3 linked regions of the Elephas maximus indicus genome follow. The protein of the gene in region 2 purifies or fractionates together with the protein of the main gene of each other region. This does not show direct contact. Links are inferred from orthologs where the notes say so. Each region holds a gene or a part of one and is shown on either strand. Other genes may lie near its edges.

Evidence for each region. The genes of interacting proteins can lie anywhere in the genome.
Region 1: the proteins of POLR3D (region 2) and POLR2E purify together in Homo sapiens (affinity purification with mass spectrometry; 6 studies listed by BioGRID and IntAct, counting the BioPlex papers as one, with this or other methods). This does not show direct contact. The link is inferred for Elephas maximus indicus from reciprocal best matches to the Homo sapiens genes POLR3D and POLR2E.
Region 3: the proteins of POLR3D (region 2) and POLR1C purify together in Homo sapiens (affinity purification with mass spectrometry; 6 studies listed by BioGRID and IntAct, counting the BioPlex papers as one, with this or other methods). This does not show direct contact. The link is inferred for Elephas maximus indicus from reciprocal best matches to the Homo sapiens genes POLR3D and POLR1C.

Annotation. Positions count from the first base shown.
Region 1 is NC_064821.1:806,763-814,090, forward strand, and holds the start of POLR2E (DNA-directed RNA polymerases I, II, and III subunit RPABC1), read right to left. Parts: upstream 3,008-7,328; 5' UTR 2,887-3,007; coding exon 2,830-2,886; intron 1,007-2,829; coding exon 832-1,006; intron 1-831. UniProt on the Homo sapiens protein: DNA-dependent RNA polymerase catalyzes the transcription of DNA into RNA using the four ribonucleoside triphosphates as substrates.
Region 2 is NC_064840.1:52,465,628-52,473,466, forward strand, and holds the start of POLR3D (DNA-directed RNA polymerase III subunit RPC4), read right to left. Parts: upstream 3,006-7,839; 5' UTR 2,797-3,005; exon of another isoform or gene 2,758-2,796; intron 2,618-2,757; 5' UTR 2,613-2,617; coding exon 2,448-2,612; intron 1,183-2,447; coding exon 1,139-1,182; intron 492-1,138; coding exon 340-491; intron 203-339; coding exon 78-202; intron 1-77. UniProt on the Homo sapiens protein: DNA-dependent RNA polymerase catalyzes the transcription of DNA into RNA using the four ribonucleoside triphosphates as substrates.
Region 3 is NC_064819.1:107,947,616-107,955,009, forward strand, and holds the start of POLR1C (DNA-directed RNA polymerases I and III subunit RPAC1), read left to right. Parts: upstream 1-4,387; 5' UTR 4,388-4,552; coding exon 4,553-4,621; intron 4,622-4,719; coding exon 4,720-4,791; intron 4,792-6,036; exon of another isoform or gene 6,037-6,386; coding exon 6,387-6,494; exon of another isoform or gene 6,495-6,719; coding exon 6,720-6,855; exon of another isoform or gene 6,856-7,140; coding exon 7,141-7,260; exon of another isoform or gene 7,261-7,357; coding exon 7,358-7,394. Other genes in the region: protein YIPF3, read right to left, coding at 193-341, 473-596, 793-906, 1,114-1,245, 1,390-1,482, 1,619-1,664, 3,025-3,131, 3,328-3,525 and 1 more. UniProt on the Homo sapiens protein: DNA-dependent RNA polymerase catalyzes the transcription of DNA into RNA using the four ribonucleoside triphosphates as substrates.

The DNA of each region.
Region 1 (7,328 bases), on a different chromosome or scaffold from region 2:
GTGACTCGGTGACTAGAAACAGGGCCTGGGGAAGGTGTGGGGTGAATTCTTGTCCTTCCTGGCTCATCGCAGAGGCTTCTGGGACCAAAGGCGCCTTCGATGCTCTGGAAGGCAGAGCTCCTTCTCTCTCTGGCACCAGGTGGCTGTCCAGGGCAGAGCCAGGGTGCCTCCCAAAGGTCAGACTCAATGTCTCTGACACTGGCCTCCACTGCTCGGCTAGACTGAGGGCAGAAGCCTGAGACCCACAGTGCTGCTGAGGGTCCCCGTATACTGTCACCCCAGAACTAGGATGCAGACAGCTGGTGTGGTGGGCACACAGGAGGAGGGGAGCTGAGTTCTGCTGGGAAAGGGGGGGGCACTCAGAGGTGCAGGAAGAGCGGAAGCAGGGAGCTGAGCTCATGTGGAGGGAGCCTGGCTGCTAGGCCAGGAGGCTGGAACGCCATCCCAGGAGGTGGGCAGCAGGACAGGAAAGAGCCGTCAGGAGGGAACAGACAGGAGGGAGCAAGGGCCTAGGCGGGATGCCTCTGGGAGAGTCCTGCTGGGAGGACACAACAAGGACACAGTCAAGGGAGACAGAAGCGACTGATCAGAGGGAAACTGGAGCAGGTGGTGGGTACGTGAAGAGACTGTCAGAGGGGTCAGAGGTCAACAGCACAGCGTGGAGAGGCAGGGAGCTCTCTCCCCAGTCCGGGTTGGAGGGCCACACACAGGCAGATGCTAGAAGCTGCACCTAAGTAGGTGCTCCAACAACCCCACCAGAAACGTGGTCCTTTGGGGATCCCTCAGGAACCTCAGGGATGGGAAGCTGTGTACACCCACCAGGGCCCTCACCTGGGAAGAAGACGAACATCTGGTCAGTGGGGTCATCATTGTGGGCCACCAGCACGGTGAGGTCCGTGCGCCGTGGCCGCCCTTCACTCGGTTTGTCTCCAAACTGGGCTTTGAACTCCTCTAGTGTCTGGTCCAGCTCGTCCTGCGTCACCAGGTAACCACGGTCGTGACACAACTGCAGAGAGAAGGGCCCAGGACCTCAGGGTGAGGAGAGCCACAGCATGCCTGAGTGCACACACCCTGGTGTCAGGCATGGTCGCAGCGATTCAAATGCTGGCTGTGGAGGACACAGGGTGGGCACACCTCAGCCACCAGCCTTAGGCCAGTCAGGGAGACAGGACAGAGAAGTCATAGCGAAGTGGATGAACACGGTCACCCTCTAATCCCATGGCCACCCCATGGGCTGGGACCAGTGTGAGCCCCTGTGGGGAGACAGGCTGATTTCATGCCTGCTTCCTGGGCTGCTTAAGCAGAGGCCATGGGCCCAGAGCATTCCCTGATACGGAGACTGTAACTGGGTCTCTCTCTCCCTCCCTCCCAGTTTCTCTTCCTCATCAGGGGAGCCTCCCTCCCAGTTCTGGGCACACTCTAACTTTCTCTGTTGCTGTTCATGCAAACAAACAAACAAAAAACCAAACCCATTGCTGTCAAGTTGATTCTGACACATAGTGACCCTCTAGGACAGAGTAGAACTGCCTCATAGAGTTTCCAAGGAGTGCCTGGTTGATTTGAACTGCCAAGGTAGCATTTAACCACTACGCACGCCACCAGAATTTCCTTATAGCACCTGGCCAACCCAACTGTTCTTGGAGAACAGGAAACGGGGTCTCTCAGTTGCAGCACAAGAGGAGTGCGTGTCGGACATGTGCTCTGTACTGGCTATGAGGGGACTCACTGGCCATGGGAGACTGGAGACCACAACTGAAGCTGACTCTGCTGTCTCATCTGTGTGAGTAAAGCGTGGTTCCAGTGCCTGTCTGTGATTTGCGCCTTGTTGGCAACCTCCAACTGTGGCCCAGGAGGCAAGGATCTAGACCAAGACCACCTGGCCCCTGGGAGTCCTGCCAGGCCTACACCTGAGCAGATGAGCCCAGCCTCTCAACCCCTTTGCAAAGCCACCCTGAAGACGGAGGCCAGAATAGCTGCGACTTCAGGCTGAGACCCTAGTGTGGGCAGGCACTCAGGAGAGAGAATGAAGCTGCCGGGGAACTTCACAGAGGGACCGGGGAGGAGATCAGGACTAGCTCACAGCCCTGACCTTCCCTTTCTCCATCTAGGTCCTTTTCTAGAACCATCTGCTCAAATAGCCCTGATTTCTGGGGTGAGATCCACAATTACTGGCCTTCAGGGACGGTCTGCCCAGGACGTCCCCTCCCAGCTCTGTCTTCATCTGCTCCGGACCTCACGGCACCGGCTCTGGACTCAACACCCCCGAGCTCAAACCCCAGCTCTGCCGCCGCTTCCCAATCACAACCCGCCCTGACCCTCAGGTTCAGGATAAAGCAACAAAAAGTGCAGCTCGTGACTGGGGCGGAGCAGGGGCCCTCCAAGAATGCCCCCGTTCTTTGTCGCCACTTGTCACCTCCTTCTCTAGCCCTTCACACTCCCCAACCCCAACTCCCGCCCACACCCGACCCCCCCCCCGGGACCTCTCAGCTTCTCCCCTCGGCCGCTGGTCTGTGGGGTCCCTCAGTCCTCTGGAAGACCCCAACCTCGGCGTACTGTGACCCTCGCCCTGCCCGCCCCAAAGCAGGTGTCCCGCCGCTGAGCTCAGGGCACATAAGGCAGCGCCCCTGGGGCAGACCCAGCAACGAGGGTCTGGGGTGGCCTTGGGGACCCCCCGATCCAGCCACAGGGGATGAGGGAGGGGGAGACGCCACGCTCCTTCCCACCTCCAGGAACCACCAGACCGTTGCGCGCTCGGCTCACCTGGCGCAGGTAGGCCCGCCGTGACCCCATTCTCTAAACAGGGGCATCCCCCCGCCCCGCGCTCCTCACCTGCATGATGGTCTTGCGGATCTTCCACAGCCGGTACGTCTCCTCCTCGTCGTCCATGGCTGCTTCGCTTCTCGGAGTCGACGCGCTGCGCCTGCGCCAGTCAGGACCCGCGCGCACTGCGCCTGCGCTAAGCCACCCCTAGTCCACTCCGTGCAGGGCTGGCCTCAGCGAACGCCTGAAAGCACCGACCTCTGGAACCGGCAGGTCCGAGGGCAGCCCGAACCTTCCGAAAGCGGTGTTTGGCTGCTCCCTAACAGAGACTTGCAAATATCACCGCCCACCACCGCCTGCAGTTCTCGCGATGCTTGAGCCGCAAGGCCTCTCGGGAGTTGTAGTTTCCGCTCAACGCCCAGCTGTCGGGCGGCTGTTTAGAATCTCGCGAGGGAGAGGCCGGGTACAGATAGGGAAACGGAGGCCCGGACGGGCTCGGGGGCCTGCCAGGCTCTCGGGCACAGTCGGGTAGTCTAGAAAGTGCTCCACAAATATGTGTGCGTCCAAGTGTCTGGGGTCCTCTCCGCATGGTGGCTCCAGGGCTCCGCCCGAGACTCAGTTTCCACGTCTTTATAATGGAAATAATAAATGCCCCTGTTTTAGAGGGTTAAGTGAGGATCTAAAAAGATGGTCGTGTTTGGGAAGAGCCTGGCAAAGCCTCCCACCTCCGCTTCAACCTGGCCCTCTCCCCTGGCTCTCGGTCCGGCCTCCGCCTGGGTGCCCCATGGCCCCCAGACCTAGTGGGTCTTGACAGACCTCCACATCAAGCCCCCGAGCTCATCAAGGAGGCTCGCCCAGCCCCGCGCCTGCCACACTGAAGGTGATCAGTAACTTATTCAGCGATTCATTCCATTCAGTCGCTAAACAGCACCGAAACCTGTTGGTGTAGAATTGGGTCCGGCTAGGTGGCCCCATGTGAGGCAGACAACCTCAGAGCCCAACCCATCTAAGAGACAAACACCTGCTCTGGCTTATCGTCCTACAGCGAGCAGAATAAGCTGCAAATTCTGAAACTGTCCTTGACAAGATAACCACAGAACGGGCCATAGATGGCTTCAATCCGCCTCTGGGGGGAGACTTAACATCCTAGTAGAAGAAAATCAACCTCTTCCTCCATTCCGGAGAATGGAACCCTGTCTAGAGAAAATGCATAGTCATCCCCAAACTCTGAACGCCTGTGTGAAGGTCAATCCTGAATATTCATAATAAATTTGCATTTCCTTGTCTGCTTTGTATAAAAGCCCACCTCCCCAAGCTGCCTGGGAGCAGTCTTGGAGGCAGCAGCCCCCATGGCTCCTATCCTTGAGCAATGAAATAAAGGCATCTTTCTCATCTCCCACCTTGGCCTCTTGTTTATTGGCTGCAGCAAGTCACACCAAGCAGAACCTGGGGTCTCCACCTGGCAGCACACATGTTACAGAGGAGAACTGTTCAACAGGGCTTTCTTGGCCTTTACCAAAGGAGCCCCGGCGGCTCAGTAGTTAAGCACCCAGCTGCTAACAGAAAGGTCATTCGGAACTCACCAGCAGCTGTGCAGGAAAAAGATGTGGCAGTCTGCTTCCGTAAAGATCACGGCCTTGGAAATCCTATTAAAAAAATACTGCTGTCGTGTCCAACCACAGGGTTTCCAAGGAGTGGCAGATGGATTCAAACTAGCAACTTTCTGATTAGCAGCCAAACTCTTTAAGCACTGCACCACCAGGTCTCCGTATGGAGCAGTTCTACTCTGTCCTATAGCGTCGCTATGAGTCGGAATCGACTCAGCAGCAATGGTTTGGTTCAGCTTTTACTGAAGCAGGTGGCCAGGCCTTTCTTCTGCAGTATCACTGAGTGGGTGCAAACTGCCAACCTTTAGATTAGGAGCCAAGTGCAGACTGCACCACCCAGGGACCCAAGAAACACAGAGATAGTGAATAAAACAGACCAGGAGTCCCTGATGTTCCAGGGGACACAGGATCACAAGCACTGAACATAACATGTGAATGATAAAATATGTCTGAAGCTGATACTGCTATGAAAAAAGCAGACCAGGGTAAAGGAGATGGCGGATGAGAAAGCTTGCAGCATTGAAGGCAGAGGTCAGGGAAGGCAGGGAGGAGAGATTTAAGCAAAAACTCGAAGGAGAAGAGGGAGGGAGCCACGCAGGTGTCTGGGGGAGGGTGTACCGGGCAGAGGTTAAAAGCCCGTGCAAAGCCCCTGAGGCAGGACTGGCCTCGTGTGTTGGCATCCAGGAGGTGAGTGTGGCTGGCTCGGAGTGTGCACCGGGGAGCAGGGGAGTTCAGAGTCGAGGTTCTCATCCTGGGCGTTTCTGCCCCCAGGGGACACTTGGCAACCTCAGGGAACATTTGTTGTCGCAACTGAATGGGGTGCTACTGGTACCAAGTGGGTGGAGGCCAGGGATGTTGCTCAACACGCTGCAGTGCCCAGGACGGCCCCCACCCCAGGGAAGGCAGCAATGCTGAGGGGGAGGACCCTGTGGCCTGAGCAGGGTCACTGGGTGTGAGAATGGAACAGAAGGAGGGGTCAGGGATGAGAGTCACGGGAGCCTCTGGGACTGCGACTTGACTGTGTGCTCTCAGGCCCGTGGCTTCACCTCCCTGTGCCTCAGCACCCCTCCTCGGCCCATGGTACAGTACCCACTTCATCGGGTAACTGTTGTTGTTAGGCGCTGTCAGTAGATTCTGACTCATAGCCACCACGTGAGGTTTTCTAGGCTTTTTTTTTTTTGTACTTTAGGTAAAAGTTTACAGAGCAAATAGGCTTCTCATTAAACAATAAATACACATTGTCTTGTGACATTGGTTGCCAACCCCTCAATGTGTCAACACTGCCCCCTTCTCCACCCCAGGTTCCCCGTTTCCATTTGTCTACTTTTCCTGTCCCTTCCTGCCTTCGCTTTTGGGCTTGTGCGGACCCTTTAGTCTTGTATACATTATTAAACTACAAAGCACGGTCCTCGCGTGTGTTATTATTGTTTATTTTATAGACCTGTCTACTCTTTGGCTGAAGGGTGAATTTCGGGAGTGGCTTCAGTACTGAGTTACAAGGGTGTCCGGGGGGCTGTACTCTAGAGGTTAGGCTGTAATCTTTACGGAAGTAGATCATCAGGTCTTTCTCCAGTGAGTCCCTGGGTGGGTTCGAACCGCTGATCTTTCAGTTATCGGCCGAGCGCTTAACGCTTGCACCAACAGGGCTGCTTTCATTGGGCGGTAATGGCCGATAATTGCAGACTGCTTAGACCTGCATCACCTGAGTTAGCAACCCAAAACCGAATCCACAACCGTCAAGTCGAATCTATAGAACAGAGTAGAACTGTCCCATAAGGTTTCCAAGGACTAGTTGGTGGATTCGAACTGCCAACCTTTTGGTTAGCAGCTGAGCTCTTAACCACTGTGCCACCAGGGCTCCTGAGTTACCTAAGTGCTCATTAAATAAAATAAAGGAGACAAGCAAACAAGGGAGGAGGTTGCCAGGTGCCCTGGAGCCAGGGGAAGGTGGTGTCTCCAGGAGGAGGGAGAGACCTTCATATGTCCCTGGCCCCAAAATGTGTGTCAATTTGGATAGGCCAGGATTCTCAGTGTTGTGTGGTTGTCCACGGTTTTGTGATCTGATGTGATTATCCTATGTGTTGTAAATCCTAAAGTCTGTGATGTTAATGAGGCAGGATTAGAGGCTGTTATGTTAATGAGGCAGGACCCAATCTACAAGGTAAGGTCGTATTCTGAGTCAATCTCTTTTGAGATATAAAAGAGGGAAGAGCAGAGCCACAGAGAGATCTCACACCACCAAGCAAGGAGAGCCCCTGGGGGCTGCTGCGCTGAGAAGCTCCCAGGCCAAGGGAAGACTGATCTCAAAGACCTTTCTCCAGAGCCGACAGAAAGAGAAAGACTTCCCCTGGAGTTGACACCCTGAATTCAGACTTCTAGCCTCCTAGACTGTCAGAGAATAAATTTCTCTTTGTTAAAGCCATTCACTTGTGGTATTTCTGTTATAGCAGCAATAGATGACTAAGACAGCTGTTGAGCTGCCAAGCCCTTGGAGGCCTGAGATGGAGCAAGTGGGGCTTGGCTGAGTGGCCCTGTGACCCTGACCAAAGCAGACCCTGGGGCTGGCTGGATAGGACTCTGCCAGGACAGGAAGGGGAAACACGGCTACAAAGGGGGACAGCAGGGAGTGATGCTGCAGCAGGAGGAGTGAAGATGGGGGAAATAGAGTTTTATGTGCTGGGGTGATGACCCAGTTAAAAAAAAAAAAAGAAGCTTCTGTGGAGTTGCCCCTGAGTCATGGTGACCCCATGTGTGTCAGAGAACAACTGTGCTCCACAGGTTTTCAGTGGTTGATTTTTCAGATGTCTTTCTTCCAAGGCACCTCTGGGTAGACTCGAACCCCCAAACTTTCTGTTAGTGGCTGAGTGCATTAACTGCACCACCCAGGGACTCCACTCTGGAGGGAGAAATCCACAGGGAGGGGTGAGGACTGCTGGAGCCCTGGGTGAGCCAGAGGGCTTG
Region 2 (7,839 bases):
TCCCCTAATGTTAGCTCCCCAAAAGCCCTTTCCCACAGCCACACCATAGCCCCTCCTCCCCAGACCTTGGTACCCACATCATCCTTCTCCAGCATGCGCAGGATCTGTTTTGTTTCTTCATCCGTCTCCCTCTTCTCTTTTTTGATGTTGATGATATGAGAGGGCCCCATGTCTGATATATCCACTGTCTTATCCCAGTTCCCTATGGAAAATCACCCAAGTCACTACGGATAAGGAAGAGACCGACACCAAAAGTAAACCGAGAGCAGGGAAATTTCTCTCAGGTAGTCTAAACCAAAATCCACTGCTATTCCTCTCAGAGCCCCAGCAGCCTTGTACCTTTTTTCTTCATCATTTCAGCTGGGCCCTGCTCAAAGATGGAGTGGGACTGGATAACTTCTGGGCGACCCCGGCCACGTCCATGTCCTTCTCGCTGTCGATCTCTATCCCTTTCACGCTTCTCCTTCTTGACAGTTACTTCTTCCTTAGGCCTGGAAAAGAGAATGGACTAAGGGAAATCACTCATTCACCTTGCCTCAGAGAACTTATCTTACTCTCCCACGCCACTCTATTCCAACTAAGCAGAGTTTATAAGCCAGCAGTTACATCATGAGGAGAAGCAGAAGTTATCCCTAGGTCTAGCATCTTTTTCACTTCCTTAATGGGGCAGGGTAATTTCAATTTGCTTTACTTTACCTTTTTAAGAGTATATGTCAGAACTATAACTCAAATGCTGAACTACAGAAACTCCCCAAATATGTATTTTTTTTTTTTTTTTTTTTTTTTTGAGCTGACTGAAAACAAGGTGGCTGTAATACATATGAACGTTAAGGGAAAACACTACGTCTCTGTGTAAACTAGCAGCTCTCAACTCTGGCCGTGTAAGAGAAACATTCCATTTCACTGAGAAAGCTAAATTACAATTCTAGGGATTGGGTACCAGGCATCAATATTTTTTTAAAGCTTGCATACCTGAATCACCTGGAAGCTAAGCTTGAAAGTCACTAATGAAAATAACTAAATACACAAGTTTAATTTTCTGAGCCACCTACTTTTGTGTGTCCCAAACATACAAAGTAAAGCTCCAAATTCAGAGCATGTAAATGAGGGGCAGGTATTCAGAGGCCCAGCTACTTACTCTTCCTTGATCTTCCGACTGATGATGTTTGGGGTAAAGGTTTTCTGAAAGTAAAATACAGGAGTCACTGATTGGTTAAGTTCTAACCCCAAAATACAGAGGAAAATGAAAACTCGCAAAGGGCATCTTCTAAGGACCAAGCTCATCCTAGCTCTCTTCCACACATCTGACACTGTTGTCAGAGATTAGAGGTAGACATGGACCCAAAGAGCAACATCATACCGCGGTAGCAGTGAGTTATACAAAGCAGATCGGGACAGCAAAAACCATTTTAACTAGCAGCCTCAGCTTCTGCCCTCTGAAAAGTTCTAAAAGCTAAAGAATGTATCTCATCTCATCTCTTGTCTTCGAACTACTCTAGAAACCAGTCAACATCAGAGGAAAGCTGCTCTAACAGCAAGGCTCAATAGGAGATCTGCTCACACTCAGAGGATACAGTTAAGACTGTCACCCGAATTTCCCAAGACAAAAAGTTCTAAAAAACTGGCTGCTTTATGTTTCTTTTTTTTTCCCCTCCTCTTCAGGGCTACCCTTTACATCTATAGGCATAAATATAACATGAGGGAACTCAGAGCCTCTAATGCTATGCCTTGATTCATTACAGGACAGATCAGAAGTTGCATACCCAGATACATGGAGAATTCCTAACCCCCTAAAATTGCAGACACACATTTATGCCTGCCTGGCTTTCTTGGGTTTCTCAAAGGTGTTTCAAACACAAAGTAAAGAAACACTGCTCAAATTGCTTTTGAGTCTTGGACTCATTAGGATTCTCTGTGAGGTGCCCTGGTGGTGCAGTGGTTAAGTACTCGGCTGCTAACCAAAAGTAGAAAGGTGGGTGGTTTGAACCTACTAGCTGCTCCATGGGAGAAAGATGTGGCAGTCTGCTTCCATAAAGATTTACAGTCTTGGAGACCCTATGGGGCAGTACTCTGTCCTACAGAGTGGGCTATGAGTCGGAATGGATTCCATAGCAATGCGATTGGTTTTGTTTTGGTCCTTCAGTCACCTCTGGGAACCATCCCAACATCTCGTACCCAACACTAGACGTGAAAGTTCAACAAGATCCCCAGAATTTAGAGAGGCGTAGGCAGAAGTCTCAGCACAAGATTCATGGGGGGCTAGACACCACGCCTGGCACAGTGTAGGCCCCACATCAGTATTAGCTGCATCCCAACCCACTGCCGTCGGGTGAATTCCGACTCATGGACACTCTATAAGACAGTTTAGAACTGCCCCACACCAGGGTTTCCAGCTGAATCCCAGGAACCTGGAATTCAAGGTACTTGGGTCTCTTTAGCAAGGCTACCTTCTTCACTCCCCCGAGGGTGAGGTCCCTGGAGCGGACAGAGGGAAGGCGGCCCGCGGTGACAGAGGGCGCTGGCCGCCTCCCGATAAGCCCCCGGGGTCCAGAGAGAAGGGGTCGGGGCCCTCCGGGGATACTGGGCTCGCCCGCAGCATTTCCTTCCGACATACTGCCTGGGAGAGAATGAGAAAAAGGGCAACAAAGTCACCCGAGGGTGCGGACACGCGAACTCTAGGCGTAACCCAACCACGTGGCCTGCCGCCCCCCAGACAGTGTGTCCTTCCTCGTGAGTCTCAGCTCCTCCCCCTCTCACGTGGCAAGACTCCCTGGACCACCCGGTTTGAGGTTTTACTCGCGACCCCGGTCCGCTGCCCTTCGCCCTCTCCCCAAGCTCTCCAGCCAAGCACGAGGCAGGGACGCACTCCAGAGCACCCGGAGCACCCGGGCTGCGGCTCTACACCACGCGCGTCACGACTTCACCTCCGACACGAGCCGCGGCTGGCACTCAGTCTCCGCGCTAGGCGGAAGTCTGCGTGGCAGGGCCCGGGCGCCGCCATTTTGCCGCGGGGCGGAAGTGAGGTCCGGTGGGCGGGGCCGGGGCACAGTATTTATCAAGCGGCACCTCGCTCCCCTCCGCCTTCTCTTCCCGGTTCTTCCCGGAGTCGGGAAAAGCTGGGTTGAGAGGGCGAAAAAGGATGAGAGGACGGGTCTGGGTTACAGTAAGATGTTGTGCTCAGGGGTCTGGCCCGGGACCGGACGTGGGGACGCCGAGTTCAGGGTCTGGGGTCCTTGGCAGCCGCCACGCCACAACGTGAGGATTCGCCTCGGCGGAGCCTGTGGAACCAATGGGGTCGCAGCTCGGATGGGGCGCGGGGCAGAGAGCGAGACCCGGATTCACATTCGGGAAGCCCTGGGGCAGGGCCGAGCCGTGGCCGCGGCGGTTGCCGCTGTGGACTCCAGATGGTGACCTTGGAGTGGTCACTGTACCTCCAGGCAGTGGCTTCGCTCGCGTTTGCTGTCGCTCGGAGGCCCCTTTTTTGAACTGGTGGGGTCCTGGTGTGGGGCTGTCGGGGCAGCGCTGGAGCAGCTGCAGCGGACGAACCTGCTGGGCTCACGACTGTGCAGGTTCTTGTGTGCGCTCTTGGTTAAAGCCTGGAAGGTACCTGAAAAATGAAAAATTTTGCAGGAGAGGCGAAGTGAAATAACTTTTTTATTGTGACTTTGACGCTTGTAGTTTGACATAAAAAATGTCCTTTAATGTTACACTTTCCTCACTGTACAGCATATAAAACCATGTAACAACATTACGGAAAGTTTGGGGAAGGGAAAGTATTTGTTAGAATTCCACCATAACCAAAAAAAAAAAAAAAAAATTCTCTGCTGTGGAGTCGATTCCGGCTCAGCGACCCCACCATAGAGTGCTACTGTTAAAGTTTTGGTAATACAGTCCTGTATCCTTACCAGAACCTCTTGTACCACAATTTTGTATGCTTTTTCAAAGAACATTTCTTTTGCTGCATCCAAATGAGTAATTCTCTGTCGTGTGCTGTTATGGATTGAATTGTGTCTCCCCGAAATATATGTTGGAATCCTAATCGCTGTACCTGTGGATGTAATTCTGTCTGGAAATTAAGGTTTTCTTTGTTATGTTAATAAGACCATATCAATGTAGGGTGTGTCCTAAACCCAATCACTTCTGAGTTATAAAAAAGCAGAAGAGACACAGAAGCAAAGCAATGGATACCTCTAGATCACTGAGCAAGCAGGACTTGAAACTGAGACAGGAATTTACCACCACCACCACCCCCCCACCAGACTGGACAAAGAGCAGTGAATTTGGACTCCTAGCCTCCTACATTGTGACAAAAACAAATTTCTGTTCTTTAAATCCACCTACTTGTGGTATATGTTACAGCAGCACTAGGAAACAGACAGGTACATCGTGATTTATTTCCCTGTTGTTTGGACACTTAGATTTTTTTTTTTTTTTTTTTTTTTTCCCTCGGTTGTAAATAACTCTGCGGTGAACATCTGGTTCGTTTAATGTTTTTTTCTTCTTTTGGGTTATTCCCTTGGTCAGATGTCCAGAGCTGGAGTAACTGACCTAAAGAACATGTGCAGTTTTTTAAAGTGAACTTTATATTTTGAGATAATTATAGATATACTCACCGTTGTTAAAAAAAAAAATAGTGCAGAGTGATCCCAAGTACGGTTTACTGGAATTCCCCCAATAGTAATGTCTTACAAAATTATGGTACAATCTCACAACCAGAATAGTAACATTGATACCGTCAAGATATGCCCGTTTAATAGCCATGCCTACCTCTGTCCCTATCCTCACCCTCCCCTGACAAACACTGATTTGTTCTCCATTTCTATAATTTTGTTATCTTAAGAATGTTATATAAGTGAACTCGTACAGTATGTGACTCCTTGGGATAGCTTTTTTCACTCACCCTAATTCCCTAGAGATTTTCCAAGTTGTTGCATGTATCAATAATTCATTCTTTTTTATTGTTCCCTACCCATAGTATGTATGTACCACAGCTTAACCAGTCACCTTTTGAAGAATATCGGAGTTGTTTCCAGTTGTTCACTGTTATGTGTAAAGTTACTATGAACATTTGCGTATAGGTTTTGAGTAAGCATAGATTTTCATTTCTCTGGGATAAATGCTGCTGTTGAGTTGCCCCCAACTCATGATGACCCCATCCATAACAAAATGAAATGCCACCCAGTCCTGCACCATCCCCATGATCCGTTGCGGGTCAGAACTTGAGATCCATAGGGTTTTCATTGGCTGATTTTCAGAAGTAGATGACCATGCCTTTCTAGCCCCACTGAAATCTGTTCCGCATTGTAGTGACACACAAGCTTCCACTGACAGCATGGTGGCTGCACACGAGGCACATTGGCTGAGCAAGAATTCAACCACAGAACCACTAATGCCTCAGTCATATGACTTGTATGCTTAGTTTTATAACAAACTGCCAAACTTTTCCACAGTGGCGGTACATTTGATGGTTCCATGTTGCTAAATTGCTTTAAAAAAGGATTGTGCTGATAATGCATCACTACTAAATATATGCATACAAGAATATCTATATAACATATTTTTTAAAAAAACCATCGAGTTGATTCTTCTCCTAGCGACCCTAAAGAACAGAGTAGAGCTGCCCCATATGATTTCCAAGGAGCACCTGGTGGATTCTAACTGCTGACATTTTAGTTAGCAGTGTAGCACTTAACCACTACACCACCAGCGTTTCCGTATAATATATAAGAGTGCATATAACATAACTCGCCTGCCCCCTAGAGACCTGCTTTGCTTTCTCCAGAGAATACATTTGCAGGTTTTTGCCTTGGTAGGAGAGAAGCGTTTGCCTAACTTCATAGAGCTGGGAAGGGAATCTGGGGATCTGACTGCTTTTTAAGCAGACTTGCAACCCATCCTCCTCCGGCTAGTTCCCCTTTTCCTCACCTCCACTTCAAAAGGAACCTGGAGCTAACTGGTTATGAGCGCCTCAGTGAGTACTGGTTTGGCTCTTGGTGCCCTCATTACTGCCTTAGGAGTCAGTTTTCTTGGTCTCCTAAGTCTTTTACCACTCTTCCATCTGTTTTCAGTCTTCTCAAATTCTGTTGCCATTGTCATTTTATGAAATGCTATGATTTATATAAAAAATATTGTATTTTTGGTGAACATACACACTGCAAAATAGGTTCCCATTCAACAATTTCCACACATACTGTTCATTGACATTGGTTAGATTTTTTGCATTGTGTCAACATTATTATTTCCATTCTAGTTGTTCCATTCCCATGAACCTTCTCTCACAGCCCCTAAACCTTCTCATCCATATTTTAACCATTGTCCATTGACAGGAGCCATGGTGGTGCAGCGGTTAAGCGCTTGACTGCTAACCTAAAGGTCAGCAATTCAAACCCACAAGCTGCTCTGCAGGAGAAAGATGTGGCAGTCTGCTTCTGTAAAGATTTATAACCTTGGAAAGCCTACAGGACAGTTCTACTGTGTCCTGTAGGGTCACTATGAGTTAGAATCAACTCTGTGGCAATGGGTTTAGTTTTGCTTGCTTTGGTTGTCCATTTGGGCACATATAGTTAATTTTTTAAAAGAGCTCAGTACTCGATTGACATTTTTTGTTTTGAGTTAACCTGCTATTTAGTTAAAAGGTAACTTCAGGATATACTTTCTGTTCAGAGTTTAAAGAGTATCTCAGGACAATGGTCCCTTGGATTCCTCCAGTCTCATAAGTATGCGTTCCTGGGGAATTTGAAGTTTTGTTCCACATTTTTCTCCCTTTCTATTAGGATTCATCTACTGTGTTGCTAATCGGGACTTCAGTATCCAAGAGCCATCTAGCTCTTCCGGTGTCAAAGTAGAGGAGACTGTGGTTTATGGAGAAAATTAGTCCTGTAGACCAGTTCCTTCTCTGATTCTTGGGTTTCCTTCTTTCTCTTTTGCTCCAAATGAATAGAGACCAATAGGTGTATTGTAGATGGCTGCTCACAAGCTTTTGAGACCCCAGAGGCTACTTGCCAAACTGATGTATTGGATTTTACTTTAACTTAACATGGGGGTGGAAAAGTGGGAGAGAAGATGGATAAAGAGTCAGTAATTATAAAGTATGAGTTAGTAAATATATGGTTGTTTTTAATAGTACTGTTTCTATCTTTTTACATGTCTGAAAATTTTCATAATAAAAATATTTTTAAAAAAGAGTACCTATAATGTTTGTCCATATCCTTTTCAGTATTGGCTCTTAAAATTTTAGACATGTTTTTGCCAATTTAATACTATATTAGTATTGTATTCTGTTGGTGCCTAACCAGATTTTTTTCAACTTGTCTTCTCCATATCGGTTTCATGATAACCAAATAAAATCCCTACACACAGAATTCCTTAGCTTCTGACTGAAGCGCTAGATGAAATTTATTTGATTTGATTCTCTGGGCTTTAATGTCCACCAACCTTTTACCAAAAAACAAACAAACCCGTTGTTGTAGAGTCAATTCTGACTCATAGCGACCCTGCAGGACAGAGTAGAACTGCTCCATAGGGTTTCCAAGGAGCGGCTGGGGGATTCAAACTGCTGACCTTTTGGTTAGCAGCTGAGCTGTTAACGGCTGCACCACCAGGGCTCCACCAGCCTTTTGGCAGCTCCTAATTTTTTTGTTTTGTGTTAAAAGATATTTGTTCGTTGTAGAAAATTTAGAAGATTTTAAAAAGCACTCAGAAGGAAATGAAAATCATCTATTATTATCACATCAATTTTTATATGTATTTGATGTTGGTTTTTCTATGCATATAGGTTTTTAAAATTAAGGTATTTTTACATATGGTGCTATATCCTGCTTTTTCTCTCTTAACAAAGAT
Region 3 (7,394 bases), on a different chromosome or scaffold from region 2:
GTCCTGGCCAGGAGTTCCCAGCCTTGTGCCCTATCACAAGCCCTGGCAGGCAGCAAGGAGGTGCTTAAGCAGCTACAGCTCTGTGGCAGCTGGAGACCCCATCAAAGAGACACATGCCATCAGTATTGTCCTTTAATCTTCCTCTGCTCTGCAGCCAGGGGGAAGGGGCCCGGCCAGGGATTTCAGGTGAGGTCAGTGTGACTGCAGGGTCACCGCAACAGCCTTGGCTGTGGCGTTGAGCATGGCGGCAGGAAGTCTAGCAGCAGGGAGCACAACAGGGATGTCTCTGGGGACTCTCTGCATGGGCGGGATGTTGGGGCCCTCCAGTGTGTCCAGAATCCCTGAAAGAAGGGTGATGGAAGATAAGCAGGAGTTGGCTGGGACCAGCCCACAGGCTATCTCATCCAGCCCCCCAACCCTGGCAGCTGTTTGCACCCACAGCCACCCCTACCCTGGCCCTCCCGTCACTTACCCTCTACCACCTTGTGGTAGGCAAAATGCAGATAGAGCAGGAAGAGCATGTGCAGGGCAGCCAGGGTGCCACAAAGGAGTAGTCGCTGCGTGGGGCCCACAGTCCGTGACACCAACACTGCCACCTAGGCCCACAGGAAGACAGCTCAGAGGCCTGGATCCAGCGAGGGATGGGGAGAAGACACCCTACCCAAGGCAGAACCATCTTGGACTTTTCCAGCCCATTCAGAACCCTTCATGGGGTTCTACCTCAGCTCTAGGCTGTTCTTCCCAAATCCCTGAGAGAACAGCCCACTCCTGAAAACCCCATTCCCAGCTTACCATGCGCAGGGTGGACAGCCCACCCACCAGCAGCCAGAATAGGTAGAAGAGGGCATGAAGGTGGATGTTGTAGGTGATGAATAGGACAATACAGTGCCCAAAGAGGCCATAGCCCTAGGAAGGAGGATGGTGGAAAGGAAAATCACTCAGGCTGGGCTGGTCTCTGGCCTTCATGGGGACCCTGGGTAATAAAGGGTCCAGTGGCCAGTTCTTCCCATTCCAGGCCCTGGGTGGGGTCCTGTGGAACCAGGACACATGCAGACCAAGGCCTGACTACTCTCTTAAGATTACCCTTGCCCACCACCATGCCTGGCTCCTTACCAGCAGTGCCAGCATCTGGAGCATGGTGATCTGAGCATTGCACAGGTAGGCGAGGAAGTAAATGAAGGACGACACGCCCAGCCAGTAGCCGAAGCAGGTACCAATGGCTGTGCCCATCAGGGTGCCCTCCCGCTGTGGGGCGAAGGCTCTGCTTAGCCCTGAAAGGCCTCTGAGGGCCTTCCTCAAGGACTGCTCCTTCACTTCACTTTACCATCCTCTCCTTGGGCAGCTTCCAACCCAGTTAAGCCACCCCCCAATGTCCTCTGTTTTGCTTACGATAATGGTGTCAGATGTCTTCATCCCATGGAGGAGGATGGCAACCAGCGTGAAGACCAGCATGAGAGGTCCATACAGCTCACCTGCAATTTTCTGTCAATATACCAACTCATTCAGCATGAAGGGTACCATGGCTTTTCTGTTCATGCCTCCCCAGGCTTTGCCTGGTGGCCCCACCCTCTGCCCTGGTGCCTCCCCTCGCTCTCCAGACATGCCACCCACTATTCACCTGTGGGAAGTTGACCATCTTGATAGGGATCATGGACTCCAGGAGCCTGAGAGAGAGGAGAGATAAGAGCAGAGGTAGCACTAAGCTGTGAGGTTTTGGAGGTCAAGGCATGAGTCTTACTCATCTCTCTAATCCCAGGGTAAAGGAAACTCGCCCAGGGGACATGCTAGATGATTCAGGGAGAACAGGGCAGTAAAGAGACAGGGGATGGGGAAATGACTTCCTTCCCCCTAGAAATACTTCCAGGGAGAACATTCCTCTGACACTGTGCTGACTGAAGCAGCACCAATACAGAATTCAGAGACTCTAGCTGGGTCCTGGGGGAAGACCTGACGATGAACCTATTTGACCTGCTCCTCTTTAAAAAACAAGCAAACCTCAGCAGAGCATAATACCCAGCATTCAGGGTTGTGATGGTGAGGCCCTGGGCAAGATTCAGAAGGTGTCCCTAAGGGAAACAGTGCCCCCTGCCTCTTCCTGCTTACCATTCCTCTAGGCACCACTGGGTATTTTCTTGAAAAATCTATCTGAAGTGCTATGAAAATTCCAGACAGAAAAAATAAAAGTACAAGTCATGTCCCCGCTTTCTTCTTAAGTGACCAGCTCCTAATAATACCTTTGATTTTGGCTAAATTTTACCTCCTCTGGGATACCTGGCCTGTCCCATTCCCCAGCCCACCCTGGGTCAGGAGTTCTTCCTGTGTGTCTCCACCATAGCATAAGAGTGCTGTCTTGTAACTGCACACCAGGGCAAGGCTCCCATCTGTCTTCACCACTGAATCAGACACAACAAGAATAGTACTGTACTTAATAAAGAAGTATGATCAATAAATATTTAAGTGGTACTATTTTTTGACAAACATTAGTTAAACTAAGGAACAAAGAACCAAGCCAAGATTAAATCTGTTTCTTGAACAGTCATTCAGCAACTATGCACTGACACTCTGGTTCAGGCTGTTCTGGTGCCGGGAAAAAAAGATAAACAAGAGTCTGCTCTCAAAGAGCTGTTGGTCTGCGGAGACAGACCCAGGAATGAGAAAGTACAGCAGTGCTGAAGTGTTATCTACTAGAGAAAAACAGAGTTCTATAATTTTTTTTTTTTATAGGAACATTGGGAGAGGACAAATGGGGGATGGAAATGAGGAATGGTGAACAAAGAAGTGACATTTGAGTTAGGTTTTGAGGGAAAATGAATCTGCTCATGGAGAAGTGAAGGAAGCCAATGTGTTTAGCGCCATGTCGTGTTCAGTGGGTGGTGAGAGTTATGGTGTGTCTGGGGTACAAGGTGCGATGAGGGGTGGTGGGGTCATGAAGAGCGGGGGTCCTGAGGGCTTGATATCTGGTTGTTGGCTGGATGAAGGACTAGGTGTTAGGAGGGCAGTTTCTGTCAGGAGAAGGATCCTCACCTGCTTCGCACCTGGGCAGGCTCCACATCAAAGTAGGGTCTTAAGATGTCAATGTTGGCGTACAAGCTGAAGGCCCTGGAGGCTTGTCTCTTTCCCGCCTGCCACATCTGAAGCAAGGAAGATGGGGGTGGGAGGTTGGGTATTGTGAGCCTCTTGGCTCTGGGGACTGTTCCCTATTTTTCTGTTGGATTTCTACATGGTTCTAACTGGATAACTTGGAGTGAGCTTCACCAACACCAACTCCAGAACCTGGGACCTGCCTAGATATACTTTTCCCCATGCCAGGGATCCAGCCTTGCTTACCTGATCAGCCACCTGCCTGCTCAGCTGTCCCTTAAAGCCCTTCATGCCCAGGAACTCCCCATCCTCTTCTTCAGCAGCAGCTGCATCAGCGTCTACTTCTTCCTCACGCAGGCGCTGATGCAGCTCACCCATATCCTCAAAGCTGGAACCTGAGGTATCATCCATGTTCTCCATGTCAATCACAGCTGAGCCCCCACCCTGTGAAAACAATGGCTCCTGGAGTGCTGGAATTTTCTGATCCGTCGGTTAAGTACTCCTCTGCTCACCCTAGGGTTTGAGTTTTGTTCTTCCACTGCTGGGGTATGGGTGGGAATCACCAAAGATCCTGCCAATCTCTTCCCACTCATCTGCTCTCAGAACCTTTGGATCCTGGCTTTTGCCCTCTTTTCGAGCCTGGGAAACCTGTCTTCCACTCATGTATTTCTCCTATCTTCCCTATCAAACTATCAAAGGGCAGCAAAAGCACCCATTTCCTTTGTCTTTCACAAGGCGAAGGCATGTCTGTGCACAGTGTTTTCAGCCAGTGCCAGTTATTACCCCTTCCCCCGTCATGCCTGACCCCGGCCAACCTCCCAACTTGCCCCTAAAGCAAAAGCACGCTCTTTCTAACGCCTCGGGAAGGCCCAGAGACCTGTGGCCCTCCAGCCGGAGTATCTGGCCTTTCAGGTCAGCACTAACCCCACCGACTTGGTTTGCACTGAGACCCAAAACAGTGAAGAACTGTTGCAACTAGAGCAGACGGTACGGAGGTTAGGGACGGACTTCTAGGCCCCGAGAAAGTTCCCAAGACACTTCAGGACGGTCGCCAGCCTTGGGGGCAGCCGGAGCCTTGGGGCCATTACCTGGATGTTTTCTTCAAATCCTCCCCACTCCGGGCCAGCCCCGTTTCGGGCGCCGCCGGCCGGCGCCGCCGCAGCTGCCATGTCCCTCGAGGGCTCCCGTCGCTGAAGCCCGCGCTACCCCGCGCGCGGAGAAGTGGGCGAGACGTGGGCCTGAGGGAGGGAGATGTCCACGGGCAAGAAGGAGAGATGGAATCAGCCGGAACCCAAAAACGAAAAACCCGGATGTTTGGCTCAAACTGACTTCCGGAAGTTTGGGACGTGGGAGGAGGCGGGGCAAACCCTCGCGATACTTAAGCCTCCAGGCGAGCGTTCGTTGCCGAGGAGACGGTAGGACTAGCTCGCGCTCGCCAGTTTGACGCTCTAGCCACGTGGGTCGGTTGAAGATGGCGGCGGCCCAGGCAGTGGAAGAAATGCGGGACCGCGTGGTTCTTGGGGAGTTCGGGGTTCGCAATGTAAGTCTTGTGGTCTTGAACTCCGGAGAGAGAAGGAGAGCGAAACAGGAATGAGTTGGAGTCGGAGTGGCGACAGACTCGTCTCTCTTGCTCTTTAGGTTCATACCACCGACTTCCCCGGTAACTATTCCGGTTATGACGATGCCTGGGACCAGGAGCGCTTCGAGAAGGTGAAGGAGGAGTTGGAGGATTGGAAGTACTGGGAGGGGAAGCGATTAGGGTAGGGTAAGGTGGGTACGGACGGAGGTGTCTGGAGAGGGTGTGTGTGGCCGGACCTTGTGATCTGAACAGCCTGTGCCTCAGAAGCTGCCCTTAAGGCTACCTTTATTCATCAGACGTTTATTGAGCCCCGTTCCCATCCCAGCGATGTGCTAGGCGCTTGCGTGTAGTAGGCCGAATTAGACACAGTTTCTGCCCTGTTCTGTGATTCTTGTTGGGGAATCATTTCGCGTAAACAAATGATTCCTGTCTAACTTTGTAAGGCGGTTGATAGCAATATAGACACAGGGTGTGCATGGGGGCGGGGGGAGGGTTAGGAAAATTTCCTGAAGGAGATAACATCTAAATTGGGCCTTGAACAAGTTGTGAACAGCTAAGTGTGAAGGAACTAAGAATATGAACTAAATTATAAAGGCGTGAGGTGTACTCCTGGAATGTTCAAACAGTTCAGTATTGCTAGAATGTAAAATGGACCAGCAGGAGTGGTAGGCAAGATTGGAATTCGTTGTAGGCACTGTAGGTGACAGGTAACTTTTGAAGAGTTTTTAAGCAGACTTGGTAAGATTCATAACCCTGATGGCTGGGAGAGAATGAACTAAGATTATGATTGCAGAAATTGAACAAAGAGGGGAATAGAGGGTCAAAGTGGTGATTGATTTGATGTGGGCTGTGAGGGGCAAGGGAACCCTGGTAGTGTAGTGGTTAAGTGCTGGGGCTGCTAACAGTTCGAATCCACCAGGCGCTCCTTGGATACTCTATGGGGCAGTTCTACTCTGTCCTATAGGGTTGCTGTGAGTCGGAATTGACTCATGACAGCAGTGGGTTTGGTGTTTTTTTGTTTGTGAGGACCAAGTGTAAAATAACCTGGCTTAGGGAACTTTGATGGATGGTGATGTTATTGTTTGATAAGGAGGAATAGATCTGAGGAAGAGGAATGACGATGTATTCAATTTTCTGCAGGCAGAGCAGTCTAGCAGGCTAGTAGAACATGTTTGAAATGAGATCAGAAATGATACATAATTTTTGGAGTTGTGAGTGTACAGATGAGTTGCTAAAATTGTGTGGTTGAGGTCACCCAAGTGAGAGACAGGAACTTGGGAAGTAGTAATATTTAGGGGATGGGTGGAAAAATAGTGAATTTAGAAAAAATCGTAAGATAACTAGAAGATTGGTGCTCAGAAACCAAGGGACTAGTAGAATTTTAAAAAGGAAGGATTTTATTAAAAAATTCCACATGTAGTAGAGGATTCCAGCAAGGTAAGGACTGAGTAGTATTACTTGCCCTAAGTAATATGGAAGCTTCTGTTCTTTAATAGAACGGCCTCCGTGAGATGGTTTGGCTGGAGGCAGATTACAGAGGTTTTGAATGAACGGAAGACAAAAACAGAGAAACTTTTCAACTATGAAAGGATTGGGGGAGAAAGGGACATCTGGGCATGGAGGAGGTTTTTGGATTTTAGAGGATGTTAAAAAAAACATTAAGGGAAATATCTAGGGAGGGGGGAGCATAGAGACCAGGCCTCAGTGTTTTTTCCTGTCCCTCCAGAATTTCCGTGTGGATGTGGTACACATGGATGAAAACTCATTGGAGTTCGACATGGTGGGAATTGATGCAGCCATCGCCAATGCTTTTCGACGCATTCTATTAGCTGAGGTATCAATGGATGTAGCGGCAAGGTTGTATGGGGAAGCTTGCTGAGGATCTCAAAGTGACCCTCCCACCCTTGTTTTTCCTGCAAATTTGCTGAGCATTCCTTCTGGTCATTCTTCTTATCTCTTTATCAAGCATTTTTCTAGGAAGAGCTCTCCCTGTCACAGGGTGGGAGTGAAGAGCCTACTGGGTCTTTGCAGATGGGTGATTGGTGATTGTTTCCTTGAGCAGGTGCCAACCATGGCTGTGGAAAAGGTTCTGGTGTACAACAACACATCCATAGTCCAGGATGAGATCCTTGCTCACCGGCTGGGACTCATTCCCATTCATGCAGATCCTCGTCTTTTTGAGTATCGGAATCAAGGTAAGGGTTTGGGAAAATAAAATTTTGGGAAAAGGAGGGCAGCTTTCCTCTAAAGTAAGATTCTGGAGTCAGACTGCCTGAGTTCAAAACCTGCATTTGATCTTGGAAAAGTTAATCTTTTAGTACATCAGTGTTTTCCACCTGTGAAATGAAGATAATACCTGTTTCATGAGTTTGTCGAGAGGATTAAATGAAAAGTGTATGTAAAGCCCTCAGCATAGTGCCTGACACTCAAATGGTCACTAGTTTTCTAAGAGTTAATCTCTTTCTCTTGCATTTACGCAGAAGATGAAGAAGGCACAGAGATAGACACTCTGCAGTTTCGGCTACAAGTCAGGTGCACTCGGAACCCCCACGCTTCTAAAGATTCCTCTGATCCCAGTGAACTCTATGTGAACCACAAAGGTGAGCGGTGGTAATGTGCGGAAGAGAGCCTGCCTGTTGCGGGTACGAGGAGTATGGCTTTAGGGGCTGAAGTCTTCTGACATGCTTCATTCTCTAGTGTACACCAGGCACATGACATGGGTGCCCCTGGGGAA